4 linked regions of the Mytilus edulis genome follow. The protein of the gene in region 4 purifies or fractionates together with the protein of the main gene of each other region. This does not show direct contact. Links are inferred from orthologs where the notes say so. Each region holds a gene or a part of one and is shown on either strand. Other genes may lie near its edges. The genes, in order: ATP-dependent DNA helicase Q4-like, DNA topoisomerase 2-binding protein 1-A-like, DNA (cytosine-5)-methyltransferase PliMCI-like and NAD-dependent protein deacetylase sirtuin-1-like.

The links.
Region 1: the proteins of NAD-dependent protein deacetylase sirtuin-1-like (region 4) and ATP-dependent DNA helicase Q4-like purify together in Homo sapiens (affinity purification with mass spectrometry; 3 studies listed by BioGRID). This does not show direct contact. The link is inferred for Mytilus edulis from reciprocal best matches to the Homo sapiens genes SIRT1 and RECQL4.
Region 2: the proteins of NAD-dependent protein deacetylase sirtuin-1-like (region 4) and DNA topoisomerase 2-binding protein 1-A-like purify together in Homo sapiens (affinity purification with western blotting; 3 studies listed by BioGRID, with this or other methods). This does not show direct contact. The link is inferred for Mytilus edulis from reciprocal best matches to the Homo sapiens genes SIRT1 and TOPBP1.
Region 3: the proteins of NAD-dependent protein deacetylase sirtuin-1-like (region 4) and DNA (cytosine-5)-methyltransferase PliMCI-like purify together in Homo sapiens (affinity purification with western blotting; 3 studies listed by BioGRID and IntAct, with this or other methods). This does not show direct contact. The link is inferred for Mytilus edulis from reciprocal best matches to the Homo sapiens genes SIRT1 and DNMT1.

Annotation. Positions count from the first base shown.
Region 1 is NC_092348.1:88,494,346-88,502,116, forward strand, and holds the start of ATP-dependent DNA helicase Q4-like, read left to right. Parts: upstream 1-4,765; 5' UTR 4,766-4,915; intron 4,916-6,058; 5' UTR 6,059-6,119; coding exon 6,120-6,218; intron 6,219-7,076; coding exon 7,077-7,110; intron 7,111-7,771. UniProt on the Homo sapiens protein: An ATP-dependent DNA helicase which unwinds dsDNA with a 3'-overhang in a 3'-5' direction. Does not unwind more than 18 bp of dsDNA. May modulate chromosome segregation. The N-terminal domain (residues 1-54) binds DNA Y-shaped DNA better than ss- or dsDNA.
Region 2 is NC_092353.1:31,999,173-32,006,996, forward strand, and holds the start of DNA topoisomerase 2-binding protein 1-A-like, read right to left. Parts: upstream 3,007-7,824; 5' UTR 2,894-3,006; intron 183-2,893; 5' UTR 153-182; coding exon 60-152; intron 1-59. Other genes in the region: zinc finger protein 1-like, read left to right, coding at 6,826-6,874, 7,278-7,303. UniProt on the Homo sapiens protein: Scaffold protein that acts as a key protein-protein adapter in DNA replication and DNA repair. Composed of multiple BRCT domains, which specifically recognize and bind phosphorylated proteins, bringing proteins together into functional combinations.
Region 3 is NC_092345.1:50,025,704-50,033,557, forward strand, and holds the start of DNA (cytosine-5)-methyltransferase PliMCI-like, read left to right. Parts: upstream 1-4,846; 5' UTR 4,847-4,944; coding exon 4,945-4,997; intron 4,998-5,757; coding exon 5,758-5,806; intron 5,807-6,168; coding exon 6,169-6,276; intron 6,277-6,871; coding exon 6,872-7,195; intron 7,196-7,854. Other genes in the region: FIGNL1-interacting regulator of recombination and mitosis-like, read right to left, coding at 621-660, 1,318-1,407. UniProt on the Homo sapiens protein: Methylates CpG residues. Preferentially methylates hemimethylated DNA. Associates with DNA replication sites in S phase maintaining the methylation pattern in the newly synthesized strand, that is essential for epigenetic inheritance.
Region 4 is NC_092352.1:28,141,352-28,148,523, forward strand, and holds the start of NAD-dependent protein deacetylase sirtuin-1-like, read left to right. Parts: upstream 1-4,160; 5' UTR 4,161-4,207; coding exon 4,208-4,283; intron 4,284-5,408; coding exon 5,409-5,467; intron 5,468-6,741; coding exon 6,742-6,835; intron 6,836-7,172. Other genes in the region: dnaJ homolog subfamily C member 12-like, read right to left, coding at 825-903, 4,013-4,090. UniProt on the Homo sapiens protein: NAD-dependent protein deacetylase that links transcriptional regulation directly to intracellular energetics and participates in the coordination of several separated cellular functions such as cell cycle, response to DNA damage, metabolism, apoptosis and autophagy.

The sequences.
Region 1 (7,771 bases), on a different chromosome or scaffold from region 4:
TTTACATGTACATGTACCGAATGCTGATTCACTACATGACACAATAAGCTGTCAATCATTTCAAAAAATCAATAATCGTGCTATCGGGGCATTGAAATCTTAACAGATCGATCAGTTTCCAGTCCTGTTACTGTTAGTATATTATGGGGACGAAGTCCCCAATAACAGTAGAAAATTCAATAAAAAAAAAAATTTGGGATAATTTCCCGAATTTTTCATTGTACTAATGAACTCAAAATCGTTCAATTTTTTTTATGTCATGTTTTGAAATCCCGGACATGCGCAGAAATGTACAATGTACTTTCTTTTTCCGGTCTCGTTTGTATGAAACTTTGAGTAAAATATATATTTATCAGTCTAGTATAAAATAGGAAGGAACGCGCAATACCAATTTCATTTTTAATAATTCCTTGATATGAAAAAACGTTACCTGATGATAGCGTTTCTTTGTTTACATTGCATATGACGTCATAATTTAAATAACGTCACAACTAAAATCCCTAACAACAGAACCAAAATCGGAAACGTTTCGGTATTTCCGTTTCTTTTTTTTTCAACAAATATTTACATTTAATCGTCCCCATTTACAGGTAATGCCTGCCTCATATTAGTTCAAGGTACAATCAATACTAAAATAAATTTTGGTGTCTGAATAAAAAAATATTTACATATTCACAAATGATTTACAAACTGACGAAGATGCCTAAATATAATGACTTTGGTACTACTTTTTAACTGATAATGTATGTGCATGTAAAAAATCACATTTTTACATGTTTAGATAAAAAGTAAAACTATATTAAAAACATTGTCCCTAGCACTAGGCCTAGTAAACAGACATATTTTTTGCTATGGTCTGTCAAACAACACCACTTCGGCACTTGTTATTTACAAACTTTACCTATGGAAAGGGAAACCTTGACCATCAAATATGATAAAATAAATCAGGTGTGGACAGTGCTAAAGATTGTAAACAATTATCGCATGTTTTCAAATGGGCGCAGCCATGTTGATCTATTCTAAATGCAGGACTGGATCTCGGATAAGGACAACGTTTATATTCCGCGTTACCAAAATTTGGAAAACAATTGTGAAGGATTTTCTTATTATGGGACTATAAAATCAATGCATTAACCCCAGGTTTAGACTACTTTCTCATTTATTTTCAAATAAAGCATATTGCGTTTGATAATGACATCTAGTCAAATCGGCACTTGGTTAAATTGGCATCTGGTCAAATCGGCACCTGATATACAAATGCACTTTTCTCATGATTTTTTCCCCCTATATAACTTTGTGTTATATAAAAGTATAAATTTCTATATGTAATTTCTCTATACCTTGTCAAAATGATGGTTTATTGAAAATAAAAGATATGTAGGAATTTTTTCTGAGACGAGTGCCTGTGCTGGTAGGTAAACGGACAGAAAGTCACAGGACTAAAAGTCACAGGACATAAAGTCACAAATTTGATAGGACAAAAAGTCACAGGACAAAACGTCACAAATAATTTGTTGACAATTGATTGGATATATTGGAAAAATATCTTGAAATATTTACTTTTTAATACAAATATTCATATTAAAGTTTAGGAAATGTGTCATTATGATTGAAAAAATAAGATTTATTTAATTTTAATCATGCAAAGGATATATTTCTTAGTACATTTTTTTTTCTATTAACAGTGATCATCTTTGATAATTTAAAAAAATATATAAATTTTGTTTACAAAGTTGGTTTATATGCAATAGTTTAAGAAAAATACAAAAATGTTTTTGTGAAAATACAAGCATTATTTTCTTTTTTTCTTTTTTAAAGAAAATAATGCGGAGAAAAAAATGAGTTGTGACTTTTTGTTCTGTGACTATTTGTCCGTGACTTTTTGTCTGTTACATTTTGTCCAGTGACTTTCTGTCCTACATTTGTTAGTATAATAGTCCAAGGTATTTTACAAAAAAAAAAGAATAAAATAAAGAAGCCGGGGTTGTCCAGAAATATTAACGTATGATTAACACTTTTCAGGGGGTTTTCCGGTTTTTGTATGTAATTTTGTTCAACTTAATGTGTATTCAAAGTATTGGACATTTGTTATAAATGCATGTTTTACCCAGTTATGCATTTTCAATGATTGTTGTTTAATGCTGTTTTTCAGTAAACTCATGATTAAACAACATCTTCGGTAAAGGCTTCACTGTTTTTCATTTTTAACATCACTGAATAACTACCTGACGGATATATATATATAGATTATTTGCTGTTGATAGTGGGGTATGTTTCTTTTTGATACAGGCCCTGGTTGATTAATTTATATTCCTTGTGTGTGTGTGTGTGTGTGTGTGTGTCATTTTAAGGTTTTATGAATTGTTACATCTATCCACTGGCAGGAACATACTATGTTTGATATACTGTTCCCAGATCTATCGGTATTAAGCCGAGTCAGCCCATTATAATTTATGCGAGTACATTTTGGAATATGGCCTAAGCTCGTTTATCACATGTCATCTGTCATGGGAACGCTTGGAATTTGCTTTTACGGAATTCAACCATATCAACGTTAGTTAATAAATAAACTCATCATATCGGAAACAAGGAACACAATTTTGTATTTGCCCCAGACGCGCGTTTCGTCTACAAAAGACTCACCAGTGACGCTTGAATCCAAAAAAGTTTAAAAGGCCAGAAAAGTACGAAGTTGAATAGCATTGAGGACTAAAAAGTCCTTAAATTTTTGCCAATTACACTGAGCCAAAGTAATCTATTCCTGAGGTAGAAAAGTCTTAGTATTTAAAAAAATCAAAGGTTTGTAAACTGTTAATTTACAATTATGACCATATTAATGATAATTCATGTCAACATAGAAGTGCTGACTACTGGGCTGTTGATACCCTCGGAGAATAAAAACTCCACCAGCAGTGGCATCGACCCAACAAGTGGCTTAAAGGCAGTGTTCGTAAATAGACTCACCATCTAGATACCAGGATTGAATTTTGTGTTTCTGCCTAATGCGCGTTTCGTCTACAAAAGACTCATCAGTGATGCTAGAATCCACTGCTTGAGTACGCAGGCACAGTTTTGGATTCACTTTTTAACAACATTCATGTAACAATTAGATATTGTGCAAAGATGATCAGCCTTATCTGAAATGAACGACTACCGCGTTTGAGAGTGGACACCTCAAACCCCCTCCTACGTACGTCAGTCATTTGAAACAGCTAGGCGATAGGATGGCGAGATGAAGTTGGCAATAACAACACTAGAATATTATACCGCATCACTAATAACTATAGGGGCATGTCGCATATACGGCACCAGAACATCAACAAAATTATTTATGAAAGGGAAATTTTAAAGTAATAGTTCGTAATAAGCAGTAAGTTTGACCCAAATATGTTAAAATAAGCTCTAAACATCAGTGATGTATTATTCACTTGTAAGTCATGCCTGCCAACTGTCACTATTTGCGCCGGGGATATTTCCCCCATGAAAGCTTCCAAATTTAAATTTGAATGCGGAGCAATTTTGTCAACAATTTTAAACAAAACAATAAATTTCACCATAGCTGTAGGGTTTTCAAAGTATGAAGAAGCCGAAAAATAACAGTTTTAAAATACATTAGAAGGCCGCCTTGACGATTTTGTAGAGCCAACTTGCACACAAAACCCCCAATGGGCATTTGAAAAATTGGAAGGTATGGTAAGTCAATAATCGGCAGCCTGTGGAATCCGTATTCACGTGACCTTCAATCTAATCCCTTAGCTTAAGACTATGATCTCTATATGTAATAGGCATGCTTAGCTGTAAAAAGGAAAAGAATACCGGTCATCATTGAAAGGGAAACAAGGGTTAACTATTTCGTTGACTGATTCGATCAACAAACAGTATGCATTATACTACCGGCATCATTTTTGTATACGCATGTTTAAAATCTGCAATATCTAACCAAACAGACAAATTAAAAAAGTCACATAGAAAAAATAATCAGATGCACGTGCTTTTGATATCTATTTCAGTGGCGGATCCAGGGGGGGGGGGGGGGGGGGTTCCGGGGGTGCGCACCCCCCCTTTATTTTTGCCGATCAATGCATTTGTATCGGGACATATGTTTTGCACCCCCACTGCACCCCCCCTTTTGCCCTGGGTTAGCACCCCCCCTTTCGAAAATTCCTGCATCCGCCCCTGTATTTATATCTATACATAAGTTTATTATCGGTTGTATGACCGTCGGCAGTCGTTGGAGGTAATATCGATGGCACGTTAATTAAATGGTGGTCAACACTTAGATACACACAAAATGCTGATACATATCATAGAGGCCCATGTATTGTTAATCGTTAATTTTGGTTGACGTTTTGTTTATTATAAATTAAATGTGAGATTTTGAGATATATCAGGAAACATGGATTTGGCAGCTTATGCTTCAGGTAGTTACAGTCACATCTTCTTACCTTTGTTGAAAACTAAATATAAAATACTACCAACGTTACCGTGATGACCATATTATGATTTTGTCCTCGGAATTCGGTATTTTTGTAATTTTTCTTTTTACCTTTACAATTGTAATACATATCATATTTAAACAGTATATGCAAGATATAAACACATCATCTACAAGTTATCTTAAACAAGTTGTTAAAAAATTTAAATCATACGATAGCGGTAAATAATTTCACAAAAATTGAATCAACACTTTATCATATCGAATGTACACTTTACTGTTCTGTACAATCTGGTTTCATTGTAATTTTACCTACGGATATCAACAGTTTAAAATCGGAAACCAGTTATGTTGAATTAAATATTGCGGGAAAGAGAACTTGTTGACAAATGGTTCAAATTGAATTAAACATCTCCAACAGCGTTATCAACTACTTAAATCATGTTATGAACATTAATATATACGTACACTGGTTATAAGGTAATTCAATAAATACACTAATTATTGAATTTATAGGCAATTTCTTCTATAATCATGAATTTTCATGAAATAATTGCCATTGGACATAAGTCATTAACTTAAGCAAGCATTAATCAAACAGTCTCAGATAAAAAAAAAACCACCATCATAAATATATGAAAAGATACCAAGGCAGCACGGGCATCTATAAAAAAATCATTAACAATATTGTTAAACCAGGCATGCGCCGGAAAGTAATCATCAACCAGTTGATGTTTTTCTGTATATAAAGAAGAAGAAGAAGAAGAAGAAGTGGAAAAACCAACAACACCATAAAAAAAGGAGAAAACTATGAAACTATTTTACAACTATTGCCTTTATTTCTTCGTATTGGTGGTCTCTTGTTTGCCATAGAGGTCCAGAATGCGTTGGATCTAACTCCTGTGTGGTCTGACCGAGAACAGTAAAATCGGTTTTTGCTTCTGCACTCCTATAAAAAAATAAATAGATATAGGAAGATGTGGTACGAGTGCCAATGAGACAACTCTCCATCCAAGTAACAATTTATCAAAAGTAAACCATTATAGGTCAAGGTATGGCCTTCAACATGGAGCCTTGGCATTATTTAAGGAATAACCGTTTCACACATGATATTGGATATGTTCCTTAAGTTATAACTAACATCCACTTCCCTTTTCACCACGAATGTGACCTACAATGTACCCTATTAGACTACATGTATTTACTGGGTTTGTAATAACATGAGCAACACCATGGGTGCCACATGTGGAGCAAAATCTGCTTACCCTTTCGGAGCACCTGAGATCACCTCCAGTTTTTGGTGGGGTTCATGTTGCTTTGTCTTAAGTTTTCTATGTTGTGTCTTGTGTACTATTATTTTGTCTGTTTTTTTATTTTTTACCCATGGGGTTCTTTATTTTCTATCTATGAGCTGATCTTCACCATTACCTGAAAAAATTGTGCAACATCACAACATAGAAAGACTAAAATGAGTAATTAAAAAATATCAATTCCTTTAAGCATGTTTAAACAAAGATTATTGTTTGTTAAGTTTCTCCTATATACCATGTATACTTTAATTTAAACATGCATTTAACAGTTCAACATTTTATGTATTTTAAAGCTATCTCTTATTTTTTTCAGATATATATATATATATATATATTTAAAAGAAGATCATGATGATCAACTAGAATGAAACAGGATGTCTGGAAGTAGTTATGATGAAGCTCAAAAATTGAAAAAGAATCTGAAGAACTGGGAAGTTGATTTTATATCAAAGCATGATAGAAAACCTAAAAAGGTAAGCATGTCTGTTTGAGTAAGTTCATAATTGAAATTGTAACAAAATGCAAAAGAAATGTTCATGCATCAGTTAAATATCTGCACTAACTTCTTGTATTCATATAATCATCTGGTAATTGACCTCCTGTGTGTCTATAACATATCGTTTGTCAACTTTGTACATTTCAACAGCATTCAGCCTGCAAATGTTCAATGTGAAATTTCATGATAATTCAATACAACTTTGAATTATGCAGTACATATGTATAAAAAAGAAGATGTGGTATGATTGCCAATGAGACAACTGTCCACAAGAGACCAAAATGACACAGACATAAAAAACTATAGGTCACTGTACGGCCTTCAACAATGAGCAAAGCCCATACTGCATTGTCAGCTATAAAAGGCCCCGATATGATAATGTAAAGCAATTCAAACGAGAAAACTTAAAAAAATGAACGAAGAACAAATATGTAACACGTAAACAAACGACAACCACTGAATGACAGGCTCCTGACTCGGGACAGGCACATACATGAATAATGAGGCGGGGTTTAACATGTTAGCGGGATCCCAACCCTCCCCCTAACCTGGGACAGTGGTATAACAGTACAACATAAGAACGAACTATAAAAATCAGTTGAAAAAGGCTTAACTCATTAGATGGACAAAAATACATTTTTATTTAAGATGTTCATGTGCGGATGGCAGATTTCTAATATTTGATATTTAATATGATAAATTTCTACATTTGAAGATCGGCAATGATTGAAATATAGATTTTTAAAACATGAGATGTCATAAATGTTTATGGTTAAAGAATTATAACTATCATATTACACTATCTAAATTATGTTTATTTGATTCTTATTTTCAGGAAGATATTGATGCAGCTCCACAAAACATACAAGGTAATGATCATTGTAACTTTAAAAGACCTACCAGTAATTCAAAAACTTAATATTTCACATGTTTGCCAACAGTTAAAAGTCCATGTCAGCTTTTATCATAATGAAGAAAAAACAATGTATAGATTTGGTGTGTCCCAATCAATATTTTTGGTTTTTCTTCACTAGGATTTCTCAAACCCAGAATGTGATGTCCAAATGATATACAAGTAATAGAGTATGCTAGGAGCTATATGACCAAGAAGGGACTTAAAATAAATAGCCAAATACATGCATGATCAACTTTACCCTAAGGAAGTTGGGAAAGAGAAGGGAAATTCAAACTCAATAATAGAAAAATATTGCCATGAAAAAGAATAGATTAAAAGGCAAAACACAACATAGAAAAACTAAGACTGAGCAAAAGAATGTTGTAAGAAAAAACTAAAGACCAACAACACTAAATACATAGGACAACATAGAAAACCAAAGACCAACAACACTAAATACATAGGACAACATAGAAAACTAAACACCAACAACACTAAATACATAGGACAACATAGAAAACTAAAGACCAACAACACTAAATACATAGGACAACATAGAAAACTAAAGACCAACAACACTAAATACATAGGACAACTTAGAAAACTAAAGACCAGCAACACTAAATACATGGGAC
Region 2 (7,824 bases), on a different chromosome or scaffold from region 4:
GCACAAACAAATAAAATTGGAAGCCATTTTCTGAAAATGTTATATATAAATTTACTTACTGCATATGCATCAAACATAGCTTTAGTGGCACCATTTCTACCAGAGCTGCCATCTGTTCTGATGCAGAACATTTTAAAGTCCCCTTCAGACATTCTGTATATTATTTAAACAACAATCTAAAGCTGAAAAAAATAATTTTTATTGTAATAAGTTGAACAATGAAAGCAAATTTAAAACCTATTTTCCATGCTTGTTAATAGGCCTAGCACTCGAACTGGACTGCTTGTGGGACAGGTGCCATAATTTTATAATGGATCTAAAATAATTATTTACTTAAACCATGTAAAAAGCCTGTAGTCAAAAGAATTTCTTTTCTACTCACAAGACTGGTAGCTAGTTACTCTTGGATTTTATTGAAGACAAGCAAATTCAATAAGCATTGATTAACACACATAACTATCAAAAACAAAAAGCATTGCATCATCTAAAATAAAAACATACATTATATAAAACACCTGTTTTCTAGTCTATAGCATTATTACTGGACATCACAAAGATTTACAGATGACAACAGTCCAATAATCGCTGACTGATGAAGGGACATTTCAGCCATACTTTGTAATGTTATTTCTACTGTACTTTTTATTGATATACATTTAAATATATATATATACGGTAGTTTAAACAGGTCTCATTAAAAAGTATCATGCACGGTGCATTGTTTAAACAGGATCCCAGAAAGCTTCAACTGGATGAAAAAGTTGTGTAATTTTAGAACTTATCCGGAATGGAATAAATAGTGATTAGGTATATGGAGGCAGGAAGTGGGATTTTGGGAAGTTCTGAAATGTTTTAGCCAATAGGCATTCAGAAGTCAGGTTTGAAATAGCCATTAACAAAATGGCATTTTATACAATACTTTTTTATACAACATTTTTATTTCAACAATGAAAACATATCTTTAGAAATGTTTTTTTATTTAGAAGAGTAAAAAAATAACGTACTCTGCACTAATTTTGAACGCTGGTATAAGAGTAGTGACGTCAATGGGAAGTTTTCCCATGTGATAAAAACAAACACAAATACTGAAGAAACCATCAAGAGGTACATTTTGTATCAGGACCGTTCGCCCTAATAACATGTTCCCCCTAGGTTCGTTCGCTCTGAGTTCGTTTGCCTATAGAGTCTGTTCGCCCTACTATAAAAAGATTAATATTGAGGGCATTGAAGTTGAATTAACTTATTTAGATATTTCTATGGTATGTATATCATGTATATTCTTGAAATATTGAAATATTTAAAAGTTTAAGGCTTGTTTAGGATAATTAATTGTTCAATGACAAAATAATTCAAATCACTGATTGTTGTGATACTTGTCTTTTGGTGGATTAATATTTAAAAACGGATAAAATTTACAAGTTCATTTATTTATACTCTACTAAGTCTAAGACTAGTCATACTGCCATACATTTGTGATTGACCGAATACAATTATTTTGTTAACAAATATCAATAAAGATGAATACATTGAAATTTCTACTCTGCAAATCAAAGGGAAAATGATAAATTGATTGCGGCAATATAAATATTCTGTCAATTTAAAAAAAAACATTCAAACTTTAACATATTTTGAATACAGAATACTTTGTTCAAATACTTAAAATAATGCGACTAGACAACAACTAGAAAAAAATAAAAATCAGGGCGAATGGACCCTGGGTGAACATGAATCTGGGTGAACGGACCCGGATTCCCATCAAGATGACCGATTTTAGAATACAGTATTCTGTAGGTGTCGCTGTTGACACTGGATTGTCTCCCTTGTAATTTTTCAAGTCTCGCGTGTATATATTTCACTCTGGTAAACAACTCACTTGTACTTTAAGATATATACTACTAGGTGGCAACTGCTTAACATATTTTTACAAAAATTAAAAAGATATATACATTTATTTATTAACATGAAAATTTAAAGGAAAAAAAAAAAAAAATTTAAAAATTTAACATTACATTAATCAAACCGGCCCGACTCGCAAATAAAGTCACCCAACAATCGCATTAGTGTTTCATTAGAGACGGAGACATTGTCGTTTTTTTCTATTGACAATAAAAGTTCCAAATCAATATGCAACGATCCTGTGTTAAAGTATATCTCATGTATAAGTTTCTGTCTTGCCTCTTCATAATTTTCACAAAATAATAAATAATGTTCCAGTTTCTAATTGACCACATTCACACTTGGGGTCTATATTTTGATTGATTTTGTTCTTGTAATTTTTTAGGTAGTATCCGGATCTTAAATTTCTAATAATTTTTGCTGTTTTATGTTCTGGATAATCAAATGTAGATTTTTTGCTGACAGTCTGATGAAAGTTATAATAAAATCTTCCTGTATCACTATTATCCCATCTATGTTGCCACTTTTTATTTACTAAAATTCTTGCTGCTGTTTTAATATCTTGTTTAGTTACTGTAATATGAGCTTCTTTTTGAATTTGATTTGCCTCTTTAGCTAGTTTATCAGCTATTTCATTTCCTCTAACATCTAGTTATACAGTAGGATATAGCAACTTCTGCAGTTAGTGGCTGAAAAGTCTTGAAAGTATAGTCAGAGAACTGTTCCTTTCAAATAAACTAAATCAGTAGACAGAGCAAAAACTCCGTAAAAAAATCCTGTGACAAAATTACTAAAAAAATCTGTATTAATCAATCAATTTCATGTTAAACTTTTATGTTTTGAGATTTTCACAGATGATGCACTGACAGCATGTTGTTTGTAAAACTGTCAAAAGTTAGGGAAAATGCTACTGTTATTTTCAGTGGCTTTGTGACACAGTTAAAGGGTTATGTTTGTTTCTTCATTGAAATTTCATGACATCTGTTTCATTTTTTACCTTTGTTTTCATTAAATCATTTGTTAACTTAAACTTTCAAAACAAATAAATGTAATTCGGAATTTCGGGGATTTCCGAAAAACCGCCTGCCGTGCAAATCCCGCCGAAAACGTGATAAATAATATATAATTAATTTTCTTAAGTTAATTTTAATTTAGTAACAATTTTCGTGGTCAAAATGTAAAGGGTTTCACACAGATTGTAATTATTGGAATTAAAAAAAAATATTATAACATTTGTATACATGATCATACATCGCGTCACGAGAATTTACGAGATTTCATTTTCTTTTGTCAATGCCGAAAAGTGAGAAATAATAAGGTAGTTATATCCCTAAAAACATGCTTTAAATCAGATCGTATGCAAATATATTAATGACAAAACCCAACCAACGTGTTATTGCATATATTTTAATCACCTCGAATCGCTGAAAACTCATCAAAAATATTGTTTGCCCATTGGAATTGGCATTGAACAAATGTTGAATAAATTATTTAGCCATCATTCGGGTCAGCAAGAAATTATTACTGACAATTATATCAATTCTCACACTGACAGGTGATCTTAGAAACGAATATGATGACTTGGTTAGAACTAAGCAATAGACAGGAAGTAAATGACATAAGACCAAGATTTACTGAAAGAGCTAGCGAAGGAAATAGCCCCTATACTCACACTGATCTTCCAAACATCAATCGAAACAGGGGATGTACCATCTGACTGGAGGAATGCCAATGTTAGCCCAGTCTTCAAGAAAGGCGAGAGATATAGAGCAGAGAACTACCGACCAATATCTCTGACTTGCATATGCTGCAAACTCATAGAGCACATAATCACAAGCCATATCATGAACCATGCAGATCGCCACCAAATTCTATACCCATTACTACATGGCTTTCGCTCCAAACGTTCTTGTGAAACCCAGCTAATTGAATTTGTGGACGACATCACTAAAAACATGAGTGCAGGTAAACAGACAGACGTACTAATTATGGATTTCTCTAAAGCTTTCGACAAAGTTGGTCACAGTCTACTCGTTCATAAACTCGAACACTACGGAATCAGAGGAAATGTCAATAGGTGGATTGCTAGCTTCCTATCACATCGGACACAAGCAGTAGTAGTGGATGGAGAGAGCTCATCACATATTGATGTAGAATCTGGGGTACCCCAAGGCTCAGTCCTTGGGCCTTCGCTATTCCTGTTTTACATCAACGACATGCCTGATGGAATTAAATCTACTATTCGCCTATTTGCTGATGACACCATAGACTACCTTACAATATCAAACGACAAAGATTCCAACGACCTACAAAAAGATCTAGATAAATTGGCAATATGGGAAACCAAATGGAAAATGGCCTTCCACCCAGACAAGTGCAATGTACTCACCATCAGCCGGAAAAACAACACCATTGCAACATCATACAAACTACATGGTCACACTTTAGAACTTGTCAAAAGCGCAAAATACCTAGGCTGCACATTCACGTTCGAAATGAAATGGAATGACCATGTTAACAACATCTGCAACAAAGCCAATAGAACAATCGGCTTTCTAAAACAAAACCTGAACATCGGATCAACGTCTGTATGGGATCCATACAACAAAACAGAAATAGACCGAATTGAGATGGTTCAGAGACGTGCAGCACGTTATGTGATGAATAAACACTAAAATCACTCAAGTGTAAGCAAGATGTTAAACAACCTAGAATGGAGATCACTTGAACAAAGAAGAAAAGATGCAAGACTAACCATGCTCTTTAAAATAGTAAACGAGAAAGTTGCTGTGACAAAGGAAGATCGTTTGATTCCACCTAAACGATTGTCAAGAAATATGCATGACAGAAGCTTCCAAATTCCAGCAGCATCAAATGATTACCGGAAATTTTCTTTCTTTCCACGAACCATCAAAGATTGGAACAGTCTACCTCCTGGGGTAGTGTCAGCGCCGTCAGTCGAGGCTTTTAAAGCCTCGGTGACAAAGCTGAACTAAATTCAAACAATATGGGGGGAGGGGGGAGGGGTCCGTATGCGCACCGAAGTCATGGCAAAATATTCAATTAGTTGATTGTGGCCATTATCCGGTAAAAGTAGAAGTAGACAGTCTGTAGCTCAAAATGCATTTTTTTCAAGAAATAATAGACATAATTTCATAAAATTATTAACTATTTATCCTAGTGGCAGTGCAAATTCTGTGATGAATTTTGCACTCTTGACCCTCTTGCTGCCAGTTGTTTTTCAGGGTTGCATTTCATATGCCAGAAAATACGACCACTCGACGTTTGTGACAAGAAATGCCAAACAATGACGTCAATCAATATATGACGTCATGTTGTAATGACCGTTACATGTGAGAGCCATTGTAGAAACATATTAATGTTCGGTCTTTCATTTTGAAAGAGGAACAGCAATGATCAGAAGCTTGCATAAATCAAAACATGGACATACATTTATATGTGTCCCTCCAGCACAGTGGTTGTAGACTGACATATGTATCCCTCCGGAAGCAAGAGGGTTAAGCTGTAAAGGGTTATCCAGAAGGGTTCTAGAATTGAAAGCCCCACTTCCATGACTTTTATAGGTTGCGTTCGCCATACTTGAATTGTGTAACTATAGAGCGTGATTCTACACTACAGCACCTTAACCCTTTGATCTAAAGCGCTGCCATGCGTCTCAGATGTCCCCAGCTTAAGTCTTGGAGAAGACAATATGGCTTTGCCAAGAAAATCATGCTCTCTGGAAACATTTGGCGCTGTACTCAAGAAAACAGCAATATGGTTAACGTTAAATATCATTTCTACCTAGAGTAATCATTGTTAGTCGTATGATATGATGACATCTGAGGTGAAGGAACATGAAGGGAATGCCACAAATAAAGCACATTTATATGATATAAACAGTCTTCACGCTGAACTGCTAAACCTACAGGCCCACAGCTCAATTTTTGGAAAGTTTTAGTTAAGATTATGTTGGCCTGTAGGTCTGATTTTTACAGGCCCCAGAGCAATTTTACCATCATGGGCTGCCACTAAGCGTGAAGACTGTATAAATATTTTTTTCCAAGTGAAAAACATGGTAAATAGTTTATACAGCATCATGTACAGCATAACAACCATCTACATGTCTTGCTTCCATGTTGTCTGTCCCGAGTCGATCCTGTCCCATATTTAAAGTCAATCTGTTCCCAATTAAAAAATATATTTATCAGGAATAATAATGACGATATATAGGAATTGTAATTCAAGGTCATTATAACAACAAAAATGAATGTCAAAATACATAACAATAATACCATATTAGCTTTTTAATACCAAATAATCAGTTATGAATAATCAACATCATGAACATTTAAGGATAAAACATCTATTAATCACAACAAAAAAAACCCAATAATTCATTCATAAGATTAAGATTTATTTTCTCCTGAAAATATAAATATTGGGATGTAATATAGCCTTTCTTTGAACAAAAATAGGGTGCAAATTCGAAAGAACCCAGTGGGCTTATGTGTTTTGGGAGCAAATGGATCCACTATATATATATATATATATATCAACAAGTGTGATGGACCACCATCTTAAAAAAGGGCAAGGAGATCTTTCCTATTTTCTGTTATTTAAATTGTTAGTCAGAAACTGCTTTAAAAGGTAAAAGAGTAATTTGGTTGATTACCCATGACTGATGCCTATCATGAATCAGGACAATTTCTTTTTTATAATATTTTATTGTATTGCTGTTGAATATTTTGATAATCAATCATGATCAATATGTTCAGTTATACAGTACTTATTGATGGTTTATCTGAATGTGTTTGTACAAGCTGTTTACATCATCCATCTATCTTTACATACATGTATTCAGACTTTATGCAATGATTTTTTGATAATTTACATGCATTATCTCTTACAGAACCAGTATTAATAGAGATGGCATTACCTCTCATACGAACACACACACAAGAGCGACCAGTTACACGTAAGTCAATAAAAAGTAATTCATTGAACAACTTGAATAATATTCTATAAATACATGAAATAGTATTCTACTGATGTTCATCATGTTTATCATGTTTATATCATTTTGAACATTTTTTACATTTTGAATCAAACTGATGTTGCCATGTTTTATAAGTGTAACTTAGAATTTAGACAAAGCTTTGCAATAGTTGAACTTGTAATTGTTTTAGTGTAAAGGGGATGTTATTTGTCATTGTTGAACTTGATAATGTTTGTTAAATGTAAAGGCTAACTAGTGCAAGTAATATTACAACATTTGAATTTATTTTTTATGATAAATTTTCAATCTCCTTGTTTTTGTGCTGAAGTTTGATTAGTTTGTATTTTATATCAGACTCCAGCATTTTATTTTTATTTTGCAGCTCAAAGAGGAAGATCTATTGGATCAGTAAGTTTGTACTTGTAGTTTTACACAAATGAAATTATTTATTATTCAAAGATCATGTGTGACACATTTTTTGATTCATTGCCCATCATCTTCCTGTTTAATGAATATATTTATGTATCAAAGATATCTAAAGTTAGGAATCAAATTTCATGAGATAATGCTTTTCTGTTTGATGTCCTGATAGAGGGGTTAGAATTAGTGATTAAATACATGTAGCTTATACAGTCGATTCCACTTAATTGCATACCGCTTAATAGCATAATTCGGTTAATTGCATAGTTTTCTCCTGCACAAAACCATTTCCCATTCATCTAATGTTAAATTGTCCGGTTATATGCATAGCTCTACAAGTGGCCTTTCGGTTTATTGCATAGAAAATTATTGCCGTCTAGATATGCTTAGTTAAAACTGACGAGATTTTTGACCGGAAACGGTCATTTGGTAAGTATATTTTTCTTGAATGCATCCTTATTTTCGTTATTATTTCATATTTACTTTTGTGTTATTGAAATAAAGTTTTA
Region 3 (7,854 bases), on a different chromosome or scaffold from region 4:
CCATGAAGGAACTAGAACTGTGAGCGAACTCACAAGAATGATACCCTGTCCTTGAATTTTGGTTATCTCCCCTTTAATGTGTTTAATCATGATAATGTTCCTATGATCATCTCATTTGATAGTGTTCTACAACTGTGTAAACTTTCACCAATATTGATACAGTTTGTTAGCATTGCAAATATGAGAGACAGACAGATAAATAGACAGGGTCATTCATTTATGCCAACAATGCTTTAGTTCATTGCTTTAAAAAGTGAAAGGTTGTTGGTATGAAACAAGCACATTGTTCGAACAATTATAATTCCCATACTACAGGTATATGGGGCTTAGAGAATAAGCATTGCTTTTTACTTTAAGTCATTTTGTTGTATTCACATACATTTTGTGCTTTGATTGCCCATTCCTGTGGCATCTCCACTCCAATTTTTCCCTATCAATAAAAATAAATGCTCATAACATTATTCTTTTATGCTGTATCTCCACAACCATAGAGCCATAGTTCAAAGCATTATTTATTGCATGAGGTACATTGTACCTTATCATTTTTATCTTTTCATGTTAATGTTTGCACTTTCAGCATGACATGACATAAGTATTTCAATGTTTTGTTCTAGACTTACCAACTTTTTCTTGAATTATTTCTGCATTCTGTAGAAAATCCTAATGCAAATTAAGGAAAGAATTCTTTTTCTATCAAAAGAAGCATGTTCAAAGAAAAACATTAATAATTGTGATCAATCCATACACTTTATAGGATTGATTGTTTACTTTATGTATTTGCAATATTTAATTTACATTCAGGATAGGAACAAATAACACACACATTAATTTCAGTAACTGAGTAGGTGCTGCAAATTAAACAAATTAGACAGCCACTTTAGTGAATCCTTGTATAAAGTTGTACCATTGTAGGTCTTTTACCCTTAATATTAAAGAACTGAAGTGGGATGAAAATGTAAATATGTTCATATACAAAAACATTTTACATTTTAAAATGTTTTCACCTTTTCTCTGCTCAAGCATATAAAATTACATTTTTTTGTCATTCAGCCCAGGCAAATTGTTCACAGGAATTTTAACCAACAGCTTAAACTTGCAGAGGGGTCCTGATCCCGAAATCCCAGGCTTAAAAAATGAAATCCTGAGGTCCTGAATTTGAAGAAATTAAAATCCCAACATCCCGAAATTCGAAAAAAAGAATTCTCGGATCCCGAAAGGATCAATCTCGCAATCCAGAGCTTAAAAACACCCAATCCCGGAGTCCAGAAAAAGGTCCAGCCATCCATCTACCTTGAAGACAATTTTATCAAAGGATACAATAAGTTTAGGTAGGGCTTCATCAAGATTCTGTTGACATTTCTGATGGTCCCAGCTGACCACAGATTCAAGAAAGGTTGTCTGTGACATCTATATAAACTTCATCTCCTGAAATAGATATTTCACTTTCTGTATTAGTATATCTACTAATATTTTTTACAAAGTTAGATGTTAAATTTCTAGCGAGTATTCTTCATATGTGTTCCAATCTGGTAGGTTTTTTTTTTTTTAAAGAAAACAATATGCTGAGTGATACACTATTCAATTGGATAATCATGTAAATTATATAAAAAATGTAAACAAGAGTGCACAACCCGAATGTCTTATAATTGAAATCATGTTAAAAGTATGTTATATGAAGAGTTTAATAGTAAAATCACAAGGTATCACATAAACTTAACATTATCAATGTTCTATGAAAATGAGGTCATGGTCAGATGAAACATGCCAGACAAACATGTGCACCTTACAATCATCTTTACGCCAAATATTGCAATATGGCTATAGCTAATAGTACATGAGGAACAATACCATAAATCTTAACAATGACAAATGAACCATGAAAATGAGGCCAAGGTCATATGAACCCTTCCAGACAGACATGTACACTTTATAATTATCATTCCATACAATAGAACACAAAATATAATTGACCTAATGCTTATAGTATCTGAGATACATGTACAGTCTTGACGACATAACTTTAACCTTGATCACTGACCAATGAAATGAGGTCTATGACAGGTGAACCCTAACTGATGGAAATGAAACTTGCAAGAAACCCATATCCAAATTCTATTTCTAGTTTTATCTTAACTTGACCATGTTGACAAAAATACATACTTTGTTTTAGTTTACACTGATCAATGAAAATGAGGTCAAGGACAATGGACCTGAGACAGACAGAAACTTTGTAAACTAAGGTATATGTATGTGCCAATAAAATATTTGTATTTGCAATGTACATGTTCATGTATGGACTATCCAGGTTTTCTACTTTCTGAATTATAAGGCTTTTAATAAATAGTTTACTTAAAACCTCTGCAGCAGTCGCAGGATTGCAATCCCAATGCCTCACATTCTGGGACTTTCCTAGCAGGCAAGACAAAAATTTAAATGGATCATGTTAGCAATACTGGAACATTTAAACCTATAATTGTAATCTGTCAATATGAACTCCAACTGAAGGTCACGATGATAAACTAAATTTAATATCATTATGCAGCTCTTCTATGGATGATGTTTGTATAACAATCAACATCATTCTATAAACTTGAAGGGGATTTTAGTTTTCTGATTTAGTTAGGGTGTTTAATGTCCTACACAACAACTTAATGATATACACATGATACATGTTACAATTGTTATTTCACTCTTAGATATAGGAAGATGTGGTGTGAGTGCCAATGAGACAACTCTCCATACAAATAACAATTTAAAAAGTAAACCATTATAGGTTAAAGTACGGCCTTCAACACGGAGCCTTGGCTCACACCGAACAACAAGCTATAAAGGGCCCCAAAATTACTAGTGTAAAACCATTCAAACGGGAAAACCAACGGTCTAATCTATATAAACAAAACGAGAAACGAGAAACACGTATATATTACATAAACAAACGACAACTACTGTACATCAGATTCCTGACTTAGGACAGGTGCAAACATTTGCAGCGGGATTAAACGTTTTAATGGATCCAAACCTTCTCCCTTAGTCTAAAATAATAAATATTGTATATGTATGGATAGAACATTTACAGTTTGTATTATTTATACCGTAAATTGGGAAATTTTGGCGTCAGGATATTTTGGTGGTTTTCTCTCAAAAAGCATGTGTTTTATTTTGGTGTGTGTAATTTTGGAACTTCGTCCAATTGATTTTTTAAATTTTGGAACAACAGTAGCAGCAATCTCATTCATGAAACCTACACGTTTAATTGTTTTCAAAAAAGTAAAATGCACCTTCTACAATTTAAAAAAAAGTAATAAAGACAGTCATAATTTATATACTTTCATAAAATGTTAATATAAAAATATTACTGATTTGTGGGTTTCTTCTGTATAAATGATGAAATATTTATTTATTATTTAAAATATACTTAACTTTATATTATTTAAAAATTAAATGTAACAAGTTTACTATCGCCTATTTTATATATATTTCTTAAATAATATAAAAACATACAGGAACAAATTTATTATAAAATTTTAGAAAGACACCTTATTATTACTAAACAAACAACCCAATAATTAACAAAAATAAAAAGTTGGCTAAATGAGAATACCTTATTTTAAAAAGTTGGATAAATGGGAAGACACCCCACGCTTTTGATATTCTAATTACCAACAACGGCGTCTAATTAGCAATAGCTTGGCAATTTATGACATGTGTGGATAATTTCCGAAAATTGACAATTAATTAAAAATTGTTTAGTAATGTTGTCAAATTATATCAGGTATTCATTTGCAGATTTAACTATGTATAGATTTGTAGTAAATATACCATGTATACGGAAGATATGAGGCCACAATTAAAAATATCTTGGTTTGCCCAAACCCTACTCAAGGTTGAGAAAGTGGGTAGGTAGGTAGGCATTTTCCTTTTTTTTCTAAAGAAATTGAATTATCAGGTGTTTATTAGTCTTCATATCTGATTGAAAAAAAAATTCTTCAAATCAGGACAATAAAAGAATTTGAGTAGGCTGATTTTTTCTGGGTAGGTAGGGTTTGGGCAAACCAAGGATTTGTATCGTTACTATACAAATCCTAGGGCAAACAAACCTATTCTTTTTTATGGCCTGATAACATAAAATGTTTTCTCCAACAACTAACATAGCAATATTGTTGTACAGGTACGCAATTTTGGCGTTTCAATTAGTGTTTGATAAATTTTCATGTGTTGAATTTTGGCAATTTCATTGGAGGCACCAAATAAACCAAAATAAAACTACATCCAATATAACTAAATTTACGGTATAGTTCTGTGTTCGAGAACACAGGCACTTGTTTCTGTCAAAATTATGTGGGGTTTACTATCCATACCCGTACGAAAAATTACGGATAGTAAAACCCAACATTGACAGAAACAAGTGACTGTGACATATTAAGAGTAGTCTAGAATTCAGAAATGAAATTAAAAGCACAGTTCATTTACTTTAGTGATTTTTTAAAACATTTTGTTCGGGGAGTGAGCTAAATTTGTATTCTAAATCAGTAATTGTGATTCCACTGTTGTTTCTAGACTTGATAGGAATGCTTAAATATTTAGCGAAAATTTACAATATCATGAACCAGCAAAGAGCAAACGATCATATTTTCCGCCAACTTCTTTATTTACATTCTTCACTTCCGGTTTAGTCCATTTTCATGGAAAAGGGATTAACAGATTAAAGAAAAAGCATAAATACAATTTTACACTTCAGTAAATGAAAAATAATCAATTTAGGAAATAAAATATTCATAAGCAAATTGATTGGAATAAGAAAGATATTTAAATAAATATGATTTAATTTTCAAAAGAAGTTTTAATTGTCTAGATTTCCCTATGGAATAGGCCAATATTTCGCGGGAAAGCAACTAAACACAAGGTTGACTTCTCTGTTCATTCTTTGGTTAAAAGAATTCAAAAATGCCAGGGAAAATAGACATTGAAGAAAAGGAAAACTCAGATATTCAAGACAGGTTTGATTTCTCTGATCTTTTAAAGTGGCAGCCTTTTTTTCTATGAATGCCCATAAAACATTATCATCAAGCTCTAAGTTATATTTGGAGCAATCAGTGGCAGCAGGGGCGGATCCAGCCATTTTAAAAAGGGGGGGTTCCTAACCCAGGACAAAGGGGCGGTTCCAATTACATGTCCCCATTCAAATGCATTGATCGTCCAAAAAAAAGGGGGATTCCAACCCCCGGAACCCCCCTCTGGATCCGCGCCTGGGCAGATCTAGGTATTTCCACAAGGGGGTCAATTGACTGCCATGATAGGGGGCCTGCTTGCTCTTATATAGATGATTCACTTAAGAACCAAATTTTTTCAACAAAAAGGGGTGGGGTCATGCCCCCCCCCCTTCCCTAAATCTGCCTCTGGCATTATCTTGGAGCACAGACTGGGTGGCTGGGAGCTAGAAATTATTAAATGTCTTGTTAGGGTGATGTGTCTTCTTATTTTGATATGCAGTTTCAGCTTCATTTATATTGAAAGTTAGGAATTGTTCTTGCATATTGTTACACTGAACCTTGTTAACTTGCATGATAAAAAACTAACTAAGGGTGACAGTATAGTATAAATCACGGTTAATATTCATATTACATTTAAAAGATAATCAGCTATTCATCATCATCATTATCATCGTTATTGTGTCTGTAAACTGTAATATTGTTCTTTCAAATAATAATGCAGGAATTGAAATTTCATAAAATTTTTTTTATCAATATCTTTTTGCAGGTTAAAGGTTTTAGAAGAAGAGTATAAAGATGGTGATGTCACTGAGAAGGTAAGTGACAGTTGGATTGAATCTGTTTTATTAACATGATTAAAGCATAGTTTTGTAAGTGATGAAGGATAATGTTAGATAATGATCATGTGAAATTTCATTTCGAATTTTCCTTAGTTTTAACCAGTGTCTTTATTCAGACAATTTGTGATCATCTTCAATGTGAAATACATGTAGGTCTAGTCCATTAAAAATGATAATTGTAGGCAGTAATGAAAAAGATTAACCCATTTAAATATTTACTCATTAAAATATCATGTGATGTCACTTTTGCTTTGTTTTTTGTTGTTGTTTTTTCTATCTTTTTTGCTTTTATGAGGGACTTGCCTCTTTAAAAGATTGTTTTTTTTTATAATGAACAGGGGTACTGGAGAAAGAAATGCAAAGTTTTAAATGACATTATACCTGAAGGAGTAAAAAGAGATATCAAGGAACTGGAAAGTGAGCTGAAAGATGAAAATATTACTGAGGTAATGACAAGCAATATATGTTATTGTAAAAAAATAATTACAATAATTCTTGTATAAAATTGGTTTATACATATACTTGTACATGTAACTAAGTCCTCCTTAGAAATAAAAACAACACATATAAATTTATTTCGTCAAAGCGTTTTTCAGGATTTACCTTCATCAGGAACACTTGAAGCCAAATAATTGAAAGTCAAGGATATATAAAACCAAAAACAGTTGAAGAGCTTTAGCTTCATTTACACTGATTGCCAATAACTAAACAAGGTTATTTAGAAAATATTTGTATTCACCATTTAAAAGCTAAGTAGTACAAATGTTTTTGTCACAGAGGGAAAGCTATAAAAGAGGAAATGGATTCAGTTTAAAGTTTCCCACAATATTTTACATTTGTAACCAGTGGAGTGAAAACCAATCTGTGAAACTGAATAAAAGATGATATGGAACATATTTCACAAAGGCAGTAACGTAACAAAAACAAAAATTGAAAATATTTTTTTAAATTGTTATTGATTTATTTACCAACTGAAAATAATTGTCTAATTTAAACATGCATGCAATTTTATGTTATTATAATTTAAAAATATATTTACAGAAAGGTTATTTTAAACAACTAGGAAAGTTATTGCAGAAGTTCACTGAATCAAACATTTTGGCAAATGGCAATTCTGTGAAAAATGGCACAGAAAAAAGTAATATGGAGGAAAAAGAAAATGGATCTAATGGTATCACAAAACACAATGGGAATAATGAAAATATAGAAAATGGTAAAAATGGATCTCTAATTGAGGAAAAAGTAGAAAATAAAGAAGAGTTAAAAGATGTAAATGATGAAATCAAGGTAGAGGCAGATATTGAGACAGAAGAGAAATCAGAAGTGACCAAGGAGAAAAATACTAAAAAACAAGAAATTGAAGAGGTACATGTAATACAATAAATGTTGGCAGAACTTTGATATATTAGATTTAATAGTTTTCAATAGTCAGCTGTTTAATATTCTTTTCTCACACTGGCGTATTTTGCAGGTAAAAGGTACTTTGTTGTGTGTGGTGCTGTTTACATTTTTTTCTTTCATAATATTTTTCAAATCCAAACTTTTTTGTTCCTTTTCAGGCCAAAATAAAAAGATTGTATGTTTGCCCAAACGCGACCGACCCAAAATAAACCCGCCGACTCAAATTCTTTTTTTGACGTTTTTTGGAAGAATTTGTTTTTTCGGATTTTTTTTGGGTCCGCTTCGTCATCGTACAAAACTTAATGTTTGTCGTCTTTGCGTTTGAAAGTAATTGTGAATAAGATTAAAAGAAAGCGTATAAGAGACGCAGTTAATCGATATTCGATGTTCTCTGTATTTATCTTCTGATTTAACGAACGTAAAGAAGTGAAACATGTGAAGTGGCACAGTTTTTTTACGCTGTAGTTGTTTGTACTACCAAACCCTTACCTATATGCTCAATGTTAATTTCATCGTGTTATCGAATATCTGATAAGAATATTCAGGTAGATTTGTTCAAAACCATGTGCAATCGAATATTTTCAATGTTATTCTGACAGGAAATGGATCCGGAAGTTGCGAAT
Region 4 (7,172 bases):
CGTCCCGTCAAAATTTTGACGGGCGTATAAAAAAACTCCCCTGTTTAACAAAATACTCAATAACTCCAAAATAAAGTTTTGAATCATCAACAAAAAGTATACAGATCTTAAGATTAATATAACAAAGAAGTGTGTAAAGTTTTAAGCAATAATCATAAATTGTTTTTGAGATACGGCACAACATGTAAAAAAAAACCTCCCCCTTTTTTACAAAATACTCAATAACTCAAAAATGAAATTTTGAATCATCACCAAAAAGTATACAGATCTTTAGAATAATATAACAAAGACATGTGTAAAGTTTTAAGCAATAATCATAAATCGTTTATGAGATATGGTGCGACATGTAAAAAAACCCTCCCCCTTTTTTACAAAATAACTCAAAAATAAAATTTTGAATCATCACCAAAAAGTATACAGATATTAAGATTAACATATCTAAGAAGTGTTTAAAGTTTTAAGCCATAATCAAGAATCGTTTTTGAGATATGGTGCGACATGTGAAAAAAACACACCCCTGCTTTAGTTACAAAGTGCCGTAACTCAAAAAGTTTTAATCTTATTTTCAGCAAAAAGTATACAGATCATTTGACCATCATAAGAAACAACTATGTTAAGTTTCATGAAATTTGAATAAGTTGTTCTCAAGTTACAGTGCGACATGTTTACGCCGGACAGACAGACGGACAGACAGACAGACGGACAGACAGACAGACGGACGGACACCGGACATTTGTATACCATAATACGTCCCGTCAAAATTTTGACGGGCGTATAAAAATGTGCTGATATATCTTGATCTATATATATTTTATGATCTTTACCTTTAGATTCATCTCCAGGATGTTTATCAGGGTGACAACTCAGAACCCTGGCTTTATATTCTGTTGTTATCTGTACAGTCTACAAGGGAGAACACAAATTGTATAAGAATAATAAATAATAATAATAATACATTTTTAATAACATTAAAGGAGTAGGTTCGATAAGGCCCTAAAATAACCCCTTTTTTTACCTTAAATTTCATAATAGCATTTATTGACCAATATCACAATGAATCATAGCTAATACATTGATTAGATAGGAAATGAGCCTTTTTGTTAAAAATTTACATCCCTGTGTTCTACTGATGACGTCACAAACACTACTCATTTTTATTTTTCACAAAATTTACCAAATTTTGCATGATTATTGGACAGGAAACATGGAGCGCATACATCGACAAAAAAGATATCTGAACACAATTTTTTTAATGACATTTTGCATGTTTAACTTGAATATTTAGTTTTTCCATGTCTGCACTCTATGTTTCCTGGTCCTAAATTTGGTTGAAATCTGGCCAATTTTTACAAATTTCGTCAAAATCTCTTATTTTGACCTATTCTGGATGTAGAAATCAACGCTTTAGAATAAAACTTTGACACAAATAGTTCTATTTTACTTTCTCACATGTCTATAAGACAACTTAAAACATATTTTACCTTGTACCATTCAATTTTATAATTGGGGCCAAATAAGGCCCTTACCGAACTTACTCCTTAAAATAACTTGAAGGAACTTACTTTTCCATATGCATTTTTAGGCATTTCAATGTGTTCAATTTGTATTGGGTGGTAGATCAATTTGTGTATTTAAAATCATCTTTCTGCCTATTTAAAACCATTACAGTAACTTGATTTTAATCAAACCATATTTTTACAAATACAAATATTTTATTGGCACAAACTCAATTACAATAATTGGCAATGGCCCATACAACATGTACAACAAGTATACAAATAGTAATGATGCAGCAATTAAACAATACTATACATATTACTCATTTATAAGGACATTTGTCCTTAATTCAAACATGATTGATTAATAAAAGATGATATTAATCTAAGTGTTTTTCTACACTTGCTATTAAGTAGTAGTTTGATATATTCATCTTCAGTTTTGGATTGTTTGTCATAATTTTTAAAATAGGACAATTTGATATAAGAAATTTTCTTTGTGATTCATATTTTGTGCAGTGCAAGATAAAATGTTTTTCGTCTTCTATATTTTTATTGACATAATTTGCACAACCTTTCTTCTCTGTTAACTTGCATGTATCTACCGGGTACCTCTTTCAGTTTCAAGATTGTGTGCACTTAGCCTTAGTTTTGCCAAAGCTGCCCTATCTTTCAACTTTTTCAATTGGCCGTTTCAGAATCAAAAGAATCATGGGTAATTTCATAATGTTCGTACCCCAAAATGAAAATAATGTCACGTCATTGGATAAATTTCCATTGTTTATAACATTTTAAACCAATCAGGACCTTTTGGTGTACACTTTTGTAAATATTACCCAGGATGCATTAGATTCTGAAACGGCCAATTGGTCAACATAGGAGCCTCAACATTGTGTGCACGTTTATTTGAAAAATATATGCAAAAAATATTGGAAGAAAAAGAAGGTGTAACGGTTTATTTCTTCCTCTGTGATATTTTATCCTGAGGATAATTTGTCCCGGTAATTTTTTTCCAAGCATGGTATTTTACAGGTTGATTTTTTCCAGAGGAGTGATAATCTATCTGTGTTATGCGGATAGTATGTACCGGTATATATTTGCTGTACTTTATTTCACAGAACGGTGTAAAATAGAGTCCCATTAACTACTATGTAAGTTACTCACAATCAATATATACCTGACTATAATTATAAAATGTTTCACAAAGGTAGACCAAATTTGCACAATTTATCAAAGGGAGGTAAGTATGAGCAATTTATATTTTATAGATATTAATATAATATATTCTGAATCTATTTTATAGTGAAATTTTTCCTTGAATCTTATTTTTATATATTCATTTATATAAAAAGATGACTTACAACTTGATTTAATAAGACAGATAACAATTCACAGGTTAAAACTATCCAGCTGTTAAGCATGCTTTTGTTCCAATATATTATTATGCTATGATTTATCTGATTTCCATATCATCAACAACTACATCTCTGTCCCCAGACAAAACTATTTATATAGTTAAATATCATCATAATCAAATTCTTCTTTTACTGTTAACAGTATTAATGCAACTATATTTCTACCTTACTTTTAAATTTATATTTGTACTGAGATCTGAAAACAACTCACTTTTACATGTATTTCACTAACCTTATTTAATCATTATATTATTTTCACAATTACGATCTTTGAAATTACTTCTGGTTTTCTTCCCTATGTTTCATGATAATTTTCTTATTATAAGGATGATATTGACTTGAATATTTCAGGAAATTTTTTCAAGGATAATTTATGAAATTATTTCCCATTATAAACAATTTTTTTTTAACAATTTCGCTTTATTTCAAATACACTATTATTATTTCATAGTATTTTTAAAGGTAGTCCGAGATTACTCTGACGTCCAACGGCTGTTTTGCCAGACAAGCTGGGGCCGTGGGACATCAGGGCTCTTCCCATATCAAAAAGTGGATATTTGCCCACCCAAAATAGATGCCCTGCTTCGTCGCTTCTCATGCCGATTGAGGGCCTTGGAATCATATAAATCGGGCATCAATCTGTTCATTTTTCATTTATCTCTTCATTTATGTAAGTTTCACCTACCTGCCAACCTTTATTTTCCATATTTTAACAGTTTTCACAGAGACCCATCGATTTCTGCATTTAAAGGATAAGTTTTTTCTAATAACTATTCAATAAGTTAACTACCCAGATAGAATTTCACGGCAAAGGAAAACATATCCCCGGGAAATATTTTCCTACAGATAAAAAAATAACAACAACTACTGTGACATTTTTTCCTCCGGATCAAATTTCACCCGGATATAATTTTGCTTTACATAGGCACATATTCCTTTGAGTAAATAAATTATGCAAATTGCACAATAGTACAAGGATTTCAATACAAATACTTGATATAATTATAAAGGACTGTTACAAACTAAAGTGAAAGTAGATATTGGAAAATAAATTGCATTAGTTTCTACTTGTGTAAGTTGTAAAAACAGTCATTGAATTACGTTAGAATGCTCGTTACAGCCAAGAATTTTATAGAAATCCTCTTCTTCGTCAGGTTCGTAGTTAAATATGGCCTCCATTTAAAGTTTAACTTAAAACTGAGTAGGGAAACTCTCCTTCACAAAATGAGCATGATGATTATTTATAATTAGAAACAGGAAGTTGCGTCGAAGGACTGCGCAGAGCTATCGAGGAAAATGGCGGACCAACCCCTAAAAAATGAACCACCTTTCAAACGTCAAAAACTCAATGAAGAGGGTACTGATGATTCAGGTATACATGTAATAAAACAAAGCATCAATCGATGTATTGAAAATGTGTAATATATAAGCGGGATGTTACTTATTTATTATTGAAATCTACGAAATCCCGAAACTTACCTCCCTTATTTTGATGATTCATTCCTATTATTAGATTTTTACTTTTTTCAGACAAAGAAAACATTTTTTATCCATGGAAGGTGTTTAACCAACAATGTAACTTCACATTAAAATATTTATTGAAGCTGTTTGTTACACCTGTCAGAAAATAAAAACAAAGTTGCAAATTATTTATAAATAGATCAAAGGGCTGTAATCCAGTCTGTTTTTATAGAATAAGGGGAATAACTCTATAACAGTTTGCTACTTTCACTTTGTTTTCAATTTGAGTTTATTTCTTTTTTCGATACCAAAGCTCTAATAAAAACTGTATTTCATATGTGGACTGTATTTGTGATCTTTTGTATAAAGATGAAGAATTGTTGCCCATGCTATAAAAAGTAAAACAACCAATAATGAGCATCACATGGTTCTGGAAGATCTTTTGACCCTTTTATATGTTCATTATTTTTGCATGGGTTCACTGGACAAAACAATGTGTTGGATTTAATCAGTTGTACATGTGTACAACTTCACCAACCCCTTTGCATAATTTGGAACAAAATCAATTATCAAGATGTTTTGCTTATCCAAATTAAAAAATAGGGCTGAAGTGGATATTAAAAAAATTTTTCAACCTTATAACATTATAGAAGGACTACATGTATTAATAAGTCAGTACTAACTTTAGGTCATTTGATTATAAATAATGACATTAACAGTTTATGTCAATTGACCCTATTTGAAAAATTCAAATGCATATAGACTTAAAATTCATTGCTTTAAAGCCTTTAATAAACTCCTGACTTTGATTCATCAGGGAGATTGCATTAAGTTCCATGTACTGGTCTTTATAAAATTCAACCTGTGTCATATTCCTAAATGTTAGAGACCCAGTTAGCTATGTACTAAACCTTTGGAAGTAATTTCCATCCCCGTTAGTATATATTATTGTGTTGCTCAGTTGTGTCATTACATTGTTCATATGGTCTACATGTGCTTGTAATCCCAATTTTGAGTTGTATTTAAATATTTTCAGAACAACAAGGATGTTCTAATATTAATATACCAAAAGATAATGAAGCTGGGAATACTGAGGTAAGCTAATACATTTATACATGATGTTTGAAAATGACATATAAAAATGAGGAGATGTGGTATATGACATGTTATTTTTGTACATGTACAGTACATGTACATGCAAAATTGACAATGAGACAACTATCCACCATCAGGCCAGGGTTAAAATGAAATGGTAGTAATCAATCATAGGGCACTGTACAGCCTTCAACAATGAGACAAACCCATACTGTTTAGTCAGCTCAGGAAAAGCCCCAACATGAAAAATATGAAACAATTCAAACGAGAAAACTAAAAGCCTTATTGATAACAAATCAATTGAACAATAAACAAATACAACCGGCATGCATGAAAACAACAACACCATTTTACTCCAGGTTTCTGATAGGGACACATCAAGAATGTTTTGGGGTTTAATATGTTTGCAGCCCTTACCCTAATCTGAAACAGAAGTGTCTCAGCACACAATAGAAACAAATTGTAAAATCAGTTGCAATTTGCTCAATAATGTTAACTCAAAAGATTGATACAAGGCACAAAAACCACCAACATGAAAATATGGACACAAAACACCAAAGTTACAGTTATTGAAAGCCAACTACAAACATGTACAACTGATAAATCAATTATTTTCTCCAAGGACCAAAGAATAAACCATTACACATCCAACAGATTTAGTGTAAAAGGTCAAACAGTTATGGAAACGCATGTTCTTATGCAATATCAAAATTTAAGTTGCCAGTACTGACAAGATGCAATATCATGAGTTTGCATAACTGTACATGTCAAGCAATGTATATTTAGTCGTGTTTTAATTTTAAAAACAAAATCTATAAACAATATTTAAAGATTTTACTATTGTTTAATTGATCATCTTAAAAAATAAGTTAATTCATAGGATCAAGAAATAATTTATATGGATCGTATCTAAGTTTGTGACCTAAAAAAATGTATATAAACAGCATTACAGTAAGATTTAGGATTTGATATTCTGTTTTTGAATTTTTCAATTACAGTCAAAATTTCCAACCAAATAATTGTATCTATGAATTTATTTGGTAAAGGTTTTGATTAATTTGTGACTTAATTTACCATTTATGAATGAATGTCATTCATTGAAATTAAGGTAAAGGTAAGAACTATGACCTTTTCTAAGTGTAAATCCAGCCAACTACGTACATACATGTCAGATGCTTGAAAACTGAGATACAATGCACACGCTTTTGTGTAAATATAATAAAAATGATATAATTCAAAGTTCCTTATCATGTATTGTATTTGTATGTTTACAGCAAGTTCATGAGGCACAAACAGACAACTCTGACAATTGTAGCGAGATCAGTAATCTGTCAGGACTATCTGAAGAAGCATGGAAACCTACATCAGGTTTGTTTAGGCTTTTACATTTATTTACCTTTAATCCCAGTTAATTGACTCTTCCTCCAAGAGCCATTTGATCAAATTCAGAGCTGATAGGGCTACATATTCAAACATTCTGTATAGTTAACAGATTCACCTTTGATGTATTTAATTCATTGGTCTAAATGTTAGACTGCAACAAATTCTAGAACAACTGAATGCTATGTTAGCATTTATTTATAAATCGGTTTTAACTGTAATTAGAAACCAACAAAACTTCATTTTGATTTGACAATTCTTATGGGAGTTATATCTATGGTAACTTAATGTCAGAGAATCAGATTGTCACTTTCTTTATCATTCT